2 linked regions of the Xenopus tropicalis genome follow. The protein of the gene in region 2 interacts with the protein of the main gene of each other region in a pairwise test. Links are inferred from orthologs where the notes say so. Each region holds a gene or a part of one and is shown on either strand. Other genes may lie near its edges.

Region 1 (6,274 bases), on a different chromosome or scaffold from region 2:
TTACAGCATAATACTGTTTCTTTTATTTTTTTTGCTCTTCCCACAAATCACTATGTTCAAAGAGTACATTTATGGTGGAATGCTGTGTGGGTTTTAAAATAGTATTTGCGGGCAAAATGATGTGCTACTGGGACCAGACTTCTGCTGGACTGAATGAATTGGGTCTGTCTGACATGTTCCTCTATCTACATTGATTTAGCATGTACTGTACTGTACATATGTCCTGAAAATGTGAATAAACAAAGCACGCTGATTATATTTGATTGCAGAACATGGCTATACAATGTCCTACCTAGTACATTAAAAAACACATATTATCACAGCTAAAAAATCACATTCAGTATAGATTGGTTTGTTCATGCAATCAGTACATTGTTTATTTCCTATATACAGATAGCTTATTTATATATATATATATATATATATATATATATACACTTAGATAAAGACACAAATTAAATGTTATGGGAAACAATAGTTTTAACAGGCAAGGAGGACGAGCCCGTGACTTTGATGAACTATCTACAAATCTAATAAAACTAATATTATGCAAAATAAAAAAAATATCTTACCTATACACCAGAGAGTCATCCAGAGAACTGTTATACTGGATCTGGTACATACGTATTCCAGGTATGTGGCGCTCAGATGGCCACTGAATTACTACAGATGTGGATTTGAGCTTGTCCACCACAATTCTTCGATCATGGTGGCTCTTCGTATCATTGAAGCCAGGTTTGGTAGAAGTTGTAATATCTGAGGAACCAGGATCTTGTTCTTTAATGTGCGCTGTATTGTTAACCAAAAGTGGAAGGGGTACTATTGCCAATTCCACTGGGGCAGTAGCCTCTCCAGCTGCATTGGAGGCAATGCAAGTAAAAGAACCACTGTCTTTCAGTGTTGTTATCATGATGTCCAAGGATCCATTGTCATGGGCCACAAGCCTTGTTGTATTATGGATCAGCTTGCCATCAGGAGCAATCCAATGGATTGATGGCTCTGGATCTCCTACCGCCTTGCACTTCAGACTGACTGACTGTCCTTCCATGACAAAGGGTTTGCTGGCATAATGTCGTGTTATAAGAGGTGGATCACAGATAAACTCCTCCTCTTGGATAGACCAGAAGTACTTGTCTGTCAGCTGCTCTGGAGAGGCACATGTCTCTAGATCGTCCTCCCTTGTCAGTCGTCGAAGCCACAGAAGTTCACAGTTACAGTGCAGAGGATTCCCACCAAAGCTTATGGCCAAGGAGGATGGGCTGGAGCCTCTAGCATTGGCTAACACTTGTGACCTAAGGAAGAGGTTGTCAGGTGGCAGCTTGTGCAATTGGTTTGAGGTCATATCCAGTCTTACCAGTTTATGAAGCATGGTAAATGTCCCCTCAGCAATATGGTCAATAAGGTTGTGATCGAGTGTCAGAGTGTTAAGATTGACCATTTGACCAATGTCTTCCCAGGGTAATTCCTCTAAATTATTGTAAGACAAGTCAAGGTCTTCTACAGTAGACAGAAACTCAACAAAAGCACCAGGTTGTATAAAACTGATCTGGTTGTTGCCAAGAATGAGGTGACGCAGGTTGCCCAGCCCCCGAAAGTGTTCATGCCTCAATAAAGAGAGCCGGTTGCTGTTCATGTGCAGAGCTCTTAAAGAACGGAGGTCAAAAAATGCCAGTGGCACAATCTGGCTAATGGTATTTCGTGACAGTGTCAGATGCACAAGATTGGTCATGTTAGCAAAGTCCTTTCGCCGGATGATGGTAATAAAATTGTCAGTCAGACGTAGCTCTACTGTTCGACGATCAATGGCTGGTGGCACAAAAAGGAGACCTGTTTTGGCACACAGCATGGTTAGTGTAGGGGAGTTGCTCTGGCAGAGGCATCGACCAGGGCAGTGCTGTGTGGCCTCTACATACCCCAGGGCTCCCATCACAAGCAGGCACAGCAGCTTCTCCATGGCCCTTTGGCCAAGATGGTCTGTGTAAGAGAATGAAAAAAACATGGATCCATTTTTAAACATAGTATTTCTTACTAACCACAAACGACAAATTGTCTTTTGTAATTTTTATTGCTTAGAAAACTCTGAATCCTCCAAAATCTAACAACTACTCTATGGCTTAGGTCACACAAAATTGTTTCAAACTTTTTCAAACTATTTCTTAGAGGCAAATGCAGTCTTTTGGGACAATTTCAGGGTTTTTGCTATGAGATTCTTCCAAATCAAGCACTTTTTCAAGGTTCAGATTTGGCTAGATCCTGAGTGCCCAGCCAAACTGTTAAAGTAAAACTTGTGGACAAATGAAACTAACTTTTCAATTTATTTGCAATTTTTATAATTTAAATTAGTGTGCGAGTTTTGTATCTTTTGTCGAGGATTCAGTATGCAGCTAAATTAAAATTTTTTAAAGTTGTTGCATGTCTAGAAAGAAGTCTCTTTTATTATAAATCCTACTGGTGCAAGCTCATGCTCATAGGTGCAAAGCTATGAAATAGTACAGTTACTAATAGCAACTAAACAGCAATTCATTTTAAACACTCTGTAGCAAAGAAGTGATTGCTTTCGAATGGCAACTGCACTAGTACCTATGTTGGTAATGGTAATATTATCCTTTCAAAAATTAGTCCAAACAATGATCCAACAACTTTATTAATGTCTAATGGAAATATTTTAATGTATGGTTAAAACCAGTAGCATACTATAAAGATCACAAAAATGTACTCATTATAAAGGGATACTACTTTCTGCCATTTGTAATGTATTGCATACTGCACCTAACATTATAATACAATGATATAATTAGGTCAGAGAGAAATGCGGCAAACTGGAGACAAGGTTGGGGGAGGGGGTTTCGCCTTCCTATGGATCCGTTTAAATATAGGTAGGAATTATGTAAGAGAGAGATTGAGATTGATGAATCTTTTTCTTTGTTTTCAACTTTAACACATGTGTTATATAATAAACACTATAAAACATGAAATGTAAAAGTCTGGTTTTAAGAATAACAATTGTAAAATATACTCGAAGGCCCAAGCAGCATGCCTTTTAAATGTTCATATAGTAACTTTGGTGAAAGTACATGGATCTCAAACACCAAAGTTCTGGGGGTAGGGGCGTAAGACAATAGACATTCTAGTAAACATGAAAGAGGGAACTCTTCACTCCTCACCCCATGAAATGTTGTTAAGAGTGTCTGGGGATTTCAAATCTGCAAATGCATTTTAATTTAAAACACATTACAAGATCCACAAATATATGCATGTTACAGGTATACTTATCTGCTGTGAACATGAAAAATGTGACTAGTGGTACAGGTATGGGATCCATTGTCCGAAATGCTTGGTATCAGTTTTCCAGATATGGTGTCTTTCTAGTATTATGCTTTAAAGCTAATATAAACATCATTTGTTTTGTCTTTAACATGGATTGGTACTAGCTTGGATAATCTTAAAAGTAAGGTACAGGTACGGGACCTGTTATCCAGAATTCTCAGGACCTGGGGTTTCTGTAAGAGTGTTGCTTATGAAGTATAGATATGACTGCATATATAAAATTCCCAAGGGGATTTGCTCAGAAAATATAATGTCATATCATGTAGTTTGGGAGGAATAATAAGTCATAAGCTCGAGGAGCACCATTATAACAATGTAGGTCCCCAAAATGCATGGGGAATGGAGTTTCCTAGATAAGGAATCCATTTGTAATATGAAGGACTGTACCTTAAAGCCTATTAACATTTAAACATCAAAATAAGTTAGTATTGTTTTACCATAAGTAATGATTTATGCTAGTTTAGTTTTCATCTAGTAGCAGGGATTGTGTTAATAATACAGAAAATAGCAAATCAATTGAAATAAGCAATTATTTGTTCAAATAGGACATTATGGTAAAGAGCACTGCAGTTTTTTAGAAATTTTCTAGATAATGGATCCCAAACCTGTACTATAAACAATGTAAATACCAGCAACCTGGGAACCTGGTAGGGCCTGGCATTTAGATACTATAGACATGCATGATCTATAGTTCATTTATGGTTAGAATGGCGCTTATGCCTCATTCTTTCTCCCAACTCACAAGATCAAATATCTTTTCTTGACAAACGTCTTTGAGAACTTTCCATATCCACTCTTTAGAAATAACAGTCAAGTGTTAAAGAAAAACGATACCCCCAGAATAAATACTTAAACAACGGATAGTTTACATTATGTTAAGTGACCTATTAAAAGGGTGGTTCAGCTTTGAGTTAACTTTTAGTATTTTATAGAATGGTTAATTCTAAGCGACTTAGTCTTCATTATTTGTTTTTTAGTTTTTGAATTATTTGCCTTCTTCTTCTAACTCTTTGTAGCTTTCAAATGGGGGTCACTGACCCCAGCAGCCAAAAGCTATTGATCTGTGAGGCTACAGTTTTATTGTTGCTTTGTATTACTTATCTTTCTATTCAGGTCCTCTCCTATGCATACACCATTCTTTCATTTAAACAACACCCTGGTTGCTAAGGTAACTCCTTAGCAACCAAATAGCTGCTGAAACTCCAAGCTAGAGAGTTGCCGAACAAAAACTGGAGTAATTAAAAAACTACAAATAATACAAAATGAAGACGAATTGTAAATTGTCTCAGATTATAACTCTCTACATCATACTAAAAGTTACCTTAAATGTAGACAATCCCTCTAAAGTGACATTGAAAACTGCTTCTCACCAACAAGACAGTGGGAATAAAAATATGGCCAAAAAAAGAAGCTAACGTTCTGATGAAGGGTACACTGATGTCTCTTCTGTCTATGGGGCCAGTTACTTTTGCTCCTGGCTGATATTTTTAGGCTTCTACTCTATTACTTAAAATGCTATTTAAAATGCTATTTTGCCATTTTGGGAATATACTTTAATCAAGATTTGGGAGTTGAATAATCATTTCATAGATGTGCCAATTGGAGTACCACTCTTCCTTTGTTTTTGCTGCCATGAAAATATTTTGCATAGGGTGCAAGTCAACAGTCATTTTTTAAATGCATTTAATCAGAAGGACTCGCTAACATACAGTATCTATGACATTTTTTTACATAACAAAGGCAATGCATACATATCTTCGAAAGTCGTGTCATATTGTGGCACAAATGTGTATTTTATAAACATTCGTGTTTTCTATCCCTGACCATGCGTGGTTGAGTGGCATGGCTCTGATAGGTTATGTGAGGTGGTAGTTATTCTCCTGCTGTTCTTAGTAAAGAAATGTCAGCTGTCTCAGATTAAGTAACATGAGACTGAGTCATTGTGACACTTTTGGACAGGACAAGCGTGGACTTTTCAGTTTGATTAGGCTTCACAAGAGACATGCAGGCTGCTTCACAACTGTGTGCCTGTCATTGGCAAGAGGGAGGAGGTAAGTCCAGGAGGCAAAAAAACATGCTGTTAAATAAAGTGAGCACCAATGAGCTGATACACTACAGAGACTGAGATTACTGTGTGGCAAAAGGAATACTTATGTCTTCACAGAAACTGAGATTTATACCAAGAGTCCAAGGCAACATTATACTGTATAAAGAGGCCAGATGATGTCTAATGTTAAACAGAGAATCAGATGCAGCATTGTAGGGAGAGGTCAGTATTACATTGGCCATACATGGTAAGATCCTCTCATTTGGTATTGTTGCAATTCTTCACTGACCCAGATAAAATTATCTAACAACCAAAATCACTACATTCATAAGCCATTTCTCCATACAGGCCCTCATCTGTCTTTTTTCCATATGAAGAAACTATTCTTTATATCTCATTCATACAATGAGTCAACTTTAAAGAAACAGTTCAGTGTAAAAATTAAACTGAGAAATTGATAGGCTGTGCAAAATAAAAAAATGTATTCAATATTGTTAGTTAGGCAAAAATGTAATTTATAAAGGCTGGGGTAATAGATGCCTAATGTAATAGCCAGAACACTACTGTCTCCTTTGCATGCTCTTAGCAGCTTTGCAACCTGCTACCAGTCAGTAACCAATCAGTGACTAGAGGGGGGGGGGGCATATGGGACATTAATGTTTGCTTTCTGGCCTAGGTACTCAGGATCAAAAGCAAACTAACTGAACAGTTATGTCCCATGTGGCTAAGAGGTTAAAGAGCTGCAAAAGAGGAAGCCGAGTTCACTTCCAAAATTACAATAATGTATAAAACATGGCACTTTCATGTATGTTCATGAATCTGGGTTTGCCTGAGAAACAATGATCTAACCTAGTAACTTGGGATTGCCTCATATTTGACCAGACCAGATTTTTGTTTAGC
Region 2 (6,741 bases):
AATATTCACTGTTACTTCCATAGTATGTGTTAAGGTGGTGGGGGAGGAATCCAAATATTTAACTGCATGGGGGGATTCTGGACCCCAAAAACTCTGACAGACCTCTGACCGTAGAGTCTATGTTACAATTCAGTTTGTATCTTTTATCTGCATTTATAAGAAACAGATGCAAAAGTACTAAGAAAAATAATTTATTCATAATTAAATCAATATATAACAGCAACTTCACTGAAGTTTAACTGCCTTCAAGGCAGAAAATGACATTATTTAGAGCCCGCCTGCTCTGTTATACAAATTTCCCATACATACTCATACACAGCTTTAACAAATACATACACAGCATTTTATACACAATAAATACACACCATGTGCTGTTTTTAACAGTGAACACACTGTACAGTTGATGACATATGACATATTTTCAGGTGGATGAACTGTTTGAGATACATTAATAAGATATGGATTATCTCATAATCACACAATAGAATTTCTGTAATGTATTGGAAACCTGCAACCTAATAGGTACTGCTCAATACACAGGTTTGCTAGCCCACTGGCACCTCTAACCATTTTAAACTTCCCACCTGGTGAATGGCAGGTTTCATAAACAGTAGCCAGGGCTGCCAATATCACATAATGTACAGCAGAATGAATTGCACAGTGAATGTTAAACTGCTTTAGAGTCACTTCTTAAAATCTGAAATATCTCAAGAACACTTGGTAGTGCCCATGTCTGATTCATGACATTTTAACAGATGATTATTCTTTAATAATGGCCAGAAACAACTCAGATATCTTGGATGGTAAAACCTTTAGTCCTTAAATCTCCTTGGGCTAATGACAGTACTTGAGCTCCCACTGTAGTGCAACCAACAAGTAGATGGATTTCACTGTCTATCACCGTACATTGTCCATGCCTGAAACAGTGCTTCTGCCTCTCCTTATTCACCAGTCACCTTATTTTCTGTATGACCTTTCTTGAGTCAACAGCCAAATCTCATTTTCGATGTTGCCGACACAGTCTCTAAGGCCAAAGATATGAAACCTCTATGGATTGGTTTCTTCTGAAGGACTTTGGTGCAAGTCCAGAGAATATGCGTTGCTTAACTTCAACTGTGTTTTCATGTTGCCTGGGGCTCGCTGGGCATCTGTGGCACTGGCTGGCACAATTCCTGGTAGAATTCAGACTGAATAAAGCGTGGGTATGAATTATTCACCATCAAGCTGTACACCCGTCTCTGGGCAGCGCTGAAGCAGGAGTGTGAAGGTTCCTGCATGGTTTGCATAATGTTTTCCCGAGTTTGAAAGTCAATGTTAATCTGCAGGAAAGATATAAAAATAAAGTTATGAATTGGTCCTGATGTTTAATGAAAAATAACACATTTTTAGGCTTGATTTTAAAATATATCTCTTGTTAAATAGGTGATGGTCTGGGAGAAATCATAGTATTTTCCTTTGTAAGCTCTGCTACTTGAAAAATACCAGTGTTTCGGCTTAGGAGACTAAAGTGTTCTCTTTGTGACTAGTGCACTTGAGCTACACCCATAGGTAAGATAGGTTATGCACACAATGCTTTCATCACCATTACATTAAAATGCTATTTAGAGAACATAAACGGTAACTGTGTCAAAAGACTTCTTAAAATAACTATGCAAACAAATGGCTGCATTACTCAAACACAACTCTAGTATGATATCGTATTTACTAAGCAACGACTACATTGGGGTAATGGTTCTGGCATGTAGCTGCTTACCTCTTTGGGGGCTTCCTTTTCAATGAATTCATCATAAATCTTCTTTGCTTTTGCTGTCAGCTTGTGTGGGGATTTGGTCTTTTTAAAATCTTCACATGCCAGCCAGAACTCAATATTCTCTTCACTGAACTCGGATTTTAAAAAGGCTCTGAATGCTGCTACTCCGTCTGTTAACAAGAGAGAAACAAATGTGTTAATTACTTTTTCCTGTAATGATAATGAACTTCAAAATCCTTGGGCTACTTATATGCTTTTCTATGCTATAACTATTCTCTGATTCCTTTTATGAAACTGATTAGATAGACAGACAGATAGATAGATAGATAGATAGATAGATAGATAGATAGATAGATAGAGATAGATAGAAAGATAGATAGAAGATAGAAAGAAAGAAAGAAAAAGTTTTCTGCATCTAGGTTGTGGCATATCATAATGGTTGTGCACCTTTTAAGCTGTATATTAATACACGCACACTATATATGTATGGTCCACAGAAATACTGATTCCCCTTAATATTTATCTATCTGCTGTGCCCAAATTAGTTTCTGATAATAACTTACATTTGCTGGCAAGAAGATCATCAAAGGTTTCTGACCAACTCTTGGCTTCTTCTGGAGTGGGCCTGAAAGATAGACAGGGATCATGAATACTTCTGCTTAGTTTCCCATTGCCTTACAAAGAACAATATTACATTCAGGTAGTGAGATATAATCAATCTCTATATACTGTACCTGCAATAGGCGTTCTTTTTGCCTCTTTTGTTCTGCCCCATATTTAAGGACCCGTTGGATGTGTTCTGAGAATTCTGCAGGAAGTAGCTCAGACGTGTCTTCCAATCTTTTAAACTGCAAAGGGAAAGAGAATCTTTTATTAAAACTCTTTAAACGCCACAGCGCAGTTCAGTGTTAGAAAGCAGAATAAAGGCATCAAAAATTCTGTTGCCTGGAAATGAAAATTGCCTCTAAACTTGCCCAGCTGTGAAGGGGTTAACTCCCAGGCTATCTAATTAGTTCTGCAGCCTAGCGAAGATCTTGTGACCTTTAGTCTGTTTCTTTTTAAAGGCAAGTCGCCTGTTGCTTTAAGGAAGACTTTTGATCTGCTGAAAGTATTTATAGCTAAACTTCAGAGCAAAGTACAATACCATCTGTGTCAGGGCGGCAGCTCACTCCCCTAGGGAGCAGTTAACAATTAACGTTTCTATATTTGGACCATGGTTCCACATCAGATATTAAAATTAAAAAGGGCAACATAAATACTGAGGTTTAATTGCTGCAATCTAAAGATCTAATTAGGGATATATAGAGGGTTAGATAAGAGTGGCTTTTATAGACTCAATTAATCTTTGTATCTTTGTTAAACATTATCTTACCCAACGTAATCTATCTCATAAGTGCGTCACACTCGGTATGACTAGTTATTACTCGTGTTGGCACATTTTAAGGAAACACAAGAGGCCATTGCAGTTGCTTCTCCCAGCTGTGCAACGTATGTTGCCTGTATGAGATCATTGCATTACTGTACAGCCCAGGAATGACTTATTCACTGAGGCTCTCGCTGCCGCCATCCTGACTATTCCTGCGCTTTTACTACTCTACAAGCAATTGGTTTCCATTATCCATATTTTAATAAAAAGCAAATCTTACTGCATTACTGTACTCTTATGTCAGCAAAATAAAATAATATTAATAAACCTAATGCAATAATGTGAATAGGCACGGTTTAGTAGTTTTCACGCATGCATCTGGAAACTGAAAATAGTTTGAATGCAAAAAGTTGCACAGGGACTTAAAAGCAGTGTAAAACTATCCTTAAAAGCTGGTATTTAACTGATGCCCAGTATTATATATATATGTCTATATAAGAAGATATGCAGCAGAAGAAATACATTCTGCAATAAATGCCAGTGCCATTGGTTTTTAGGGAAAGCAGCCATAGAGAACTGAGCTCTGTAGGGAGAGCCCATGCCATTTGCAATGCTCGGTTCCCTCTGCAGAGCGCAAAGCAGCAGATAATACAGACTGACAGCAATGTGTATAGAAACTTACATAGTTTTCTTCATCTTCCCTCTTTTCTCCTCGTTTTTCTGACAGCCTCCAGGAGACGAGCGTTCGACTTGCCCACAGTTGTGCTGAATGGCAAGAAACATTGCACTCTGCATAATGTCCCTCAATGGATTTGTATTAGTCCCAGAGCTCTCTTCTGCTAGTTCTGTCAGTGAGTCAGTGATGCTGCTAGAGAGCTAGGATGATTTGTCTCTATACAGACTGCTGAGGCTCAACTTTATATGCACCCAAGGTGGGGCTGGGCTTAGGCGCCCCCTCCCTTGCGCCTCTGCTATTGGCTGAGCCAGTTCCTGGCAGTTTGGTAAATCTCTAGTGCTGACGTCTTTGTCTGGGGCTGCTGCAAGTGTATGTGTGCTAGAGCTGCTGCTTCTCCTGGGCTCCTGGCAACTACACTGAAAACTAGTGATTAAGCACCCTGTATATTAAGCACCTTGTATATTATTCTTCTTTATTCTCAGCTGTATGCAAAAGGCAAACAAAATATCCAAACCCCCTTTTATCCTGGGAGAATTTCTGTTGCAGCAAGTAGGAAAGGGAAACTTCAATCTCCCACTGACATTATATGCATTATACATTGTATAACAGCAATAGGGAGCTCTCCTTTTTGCTTAGTATTAGTCCAGCTGCGCTTGGAAAACTGTGTTGCTTTGATGGCACAGGGACATGGAATTGATGGCTGGTGTAGTTCTGTTTTCCTACAGAATAATGTTAAAGCTTATGCACGGCTTTTCCCTCTTTCTGTATACTTTGCTTAACAGCTATTCTAATGGTTACCATAACTTCTAAGAGACCATAAAAGTTTTAAGAATCCTTACTGCAGCTCCAATCATTTGTGAGCTCTTACAGGTGGCACATCTATGGGCTATACATCAGCTTGAAGCCCAGTCTGTACTGTGCAACTGGTATTCCTTACAGATATATACAATATATGTATAAATGTCCTTTATTGCAACATTCAGTTTAAGTTTCATAGGGGCATATAGGGGATATGGGGAGACAAGCATTTTAGAAAAACAGAAGGAGATGTTTCATATATGGAAATTTACATTGTTCTTTGTTCAACTATTTCTAGCACCGATCTGGCTTATGTTGCCAGGCAATGTACGCTGTAGGGGTTTTCAAGAAGGGTTTCTTAGGTGAATGTCTCATAAGCATAAGAGTATACATGTATAAGGAATATTGGAGGAAAAAAAGTGTAAGAATCTTTCCCCTGCACCACGGGTTTCCTATTGTAAATTCTGTGTTCTTAGGTTGATCTCTGTTTTGTTTATGTAGGGAGGGGGAGGCTATAATAACAATAGGGATAAACAGAGGGACAGCTCACATTAAAATGAACATGTAGCTTGATGTAGACAAATTACAGAATGAGACAATTTGCAATTAGTTTTTTTTGTGTGTGTATTTTTTATAAGATCTAACTTCTGGTTTTGCATCTCTCGGGTTTGATATTTATTTTTTTTAGCAGATATATGGTTGCTAGAGACTTACTTACCCTAGCAACCAGGAAGCTGATTGGAAGTCAAAATGGAAAATGAATGGGTGAAAGCCTCTACAGAGAATGAGCCAGTTACCCTGGTGCATTCTGCAAAGAGTTTAAATAGGAAGCCTAATAGTTTCAAAAGATATAATTTAATTAAAAGTGAAGATTTCATTGAAAAGTTGCAAATAAATTAATATATTGAATACTAAAAATTGAAAGTGGAATTTCCCATTAAGTGAGTTGCAGTACACCACCTTTTTGCAGGAAGGGAAAAAAAAATATATATTTAGGGGCCGCATATTGTTGTACAGACTATATATTATATAAACTTTGCAGGTAAACCTTTAAATCCCCTGCAGCACTGGCTGTCAGCTGCACAATAGATCCCTTGTCCTGCTGCCAGAAGGGGTTCATAATATGCGACTATTAAACCTGAAAAACAAGGTTTCTAAAATTAAACCAGTGACGTCAAAGCCGTGAGCGAAATGTTGCAAGGGATGCCTACCATTTCTGCTATGTACAAAGCATGCCTTTATCAATATTAATGGGCTGTAAAACATACGTGAACCCTAATAAGTAAATGTTAGCTGAACAGCAATCTTGCTGATACCCTGATCAGAACTCCGGTTATCCATTGATTTGTGTAGTTTATTTGTATATGGCATTTATTACAGTGACTGGTTAAAAACACCCAGTGAATTGTATTGGGAGGTTATGTTGTTGTTAGATTGGTGCAGATGCTTCAGGCTGCTGCCAGCTTGATCAGCTAGTTTGGTTTATTGGCTAAACAGCTTTTGTAAAAGTATGCGATTGGTCCAAGAACATGAAAAAATAATAGAAGAATGCAATGCAAACATAGATAAGCTAAAACACGTGAAAGTGGGACAACGTGTACCTCGAAGAACTAAAGGCATTTGAAAACATGTTTTCACTGGTGGGGTTGGACAGTGTTGGACTGGAGGGTCCAGAGCCCTCGGGGCTAGCACCCAAGTTGCAAACTCCCACATTCCTGTCAAAATCACCCCCCCCCCCATGCTCCACTACGTACCTCCGATCCCACTATGTACCTCCTCACTCCGTCACTCTTGTGACCTAGGCAAAGTAGTTAGGGGGGGCCTCAAATTCCAGACAAGTGGGTTTTCTCCTGGTGCCCAGACGACCAAGTCTGACCCTGGAGTGGGAGCAGACACCTTTTGCAATAGTTACTCTACGGCCTCTTGAGAATACTTTGTTGTGTTTACAATAGCCATACATTCTCAGGTTATATCAATTACAGGTTTTAATTTTTAAGAGGTTTTTGAGCTGACCAAGTGATCCAGGGTTATTCATAATCTGGCCACTACAGACAGGGTTACAATTCAATGCAGGGATTCTTAAACTTTGTGTTAGAAGCTAAAATTGGTTTACCTTGCTATTTAGAGTGGGACCCCATCATCCCCTTCAAT

Evidence for each region.
Region 1: the proteins of rgs2 (region 2) and lrfn1.1 interact in a two-hybrid assay, tested with the Homo sapiens proteins (2 studies listed by BioGRID and IntAct). The link is inferred for Xenopus tropicalis from reciprocal best matches to the Homo sapiens genes RGS2 and LRFN1.

What each region holds. Positions count from the first base shown.
Region 1 is NC_030684.2:81,084,199-81,090,472, forward strand, and holds part of lrfn1.1 (leucine-rich repeat and fibronectin type III domain-containing protein 1), read right to left. Parts: intron 1,975-6,274; 5' UTR 1,955-1,974; coding exon 573-1,954; intron 1-572. UniProt on the Homo sapiens protein: Promotes neurite outgrowth in hippocampal neurons. Involved in the regulation and maintenance of excitatory synapses. Induces the clustering of excitatory postsynaptic proteins, including DLG4, DLGAP1, GRIA1 and GRIN1.
Region 2 is NC_030680.2:117,677,126-117,683,866, reverse strand, and holds rgs2 (regulator of G-protein signaling 2), read right to left. Parts: upstream 3,989-6,741; 5' UTR 3,912-3,988; coding exon 3,799-3,911; intron 2,599-3,798; coding exon 2,485-2,598; intron 2,376-2,484; coding exon 2,314-2,375; intron 1,921-2,313; coding exon 1,754-1,920; intron 1,320-1,753; coding exon 1,122-1,319; 3' UTR 176-1,121; downstream 1-175. UniProt on the Homo sapiens protein: Regulates G protein-coupled receptor signaling cascades. Inhibits signal transduction by increasing the GTPase activity of G protein alpha subunits, thereby driving them into their inactive GDP-bound form.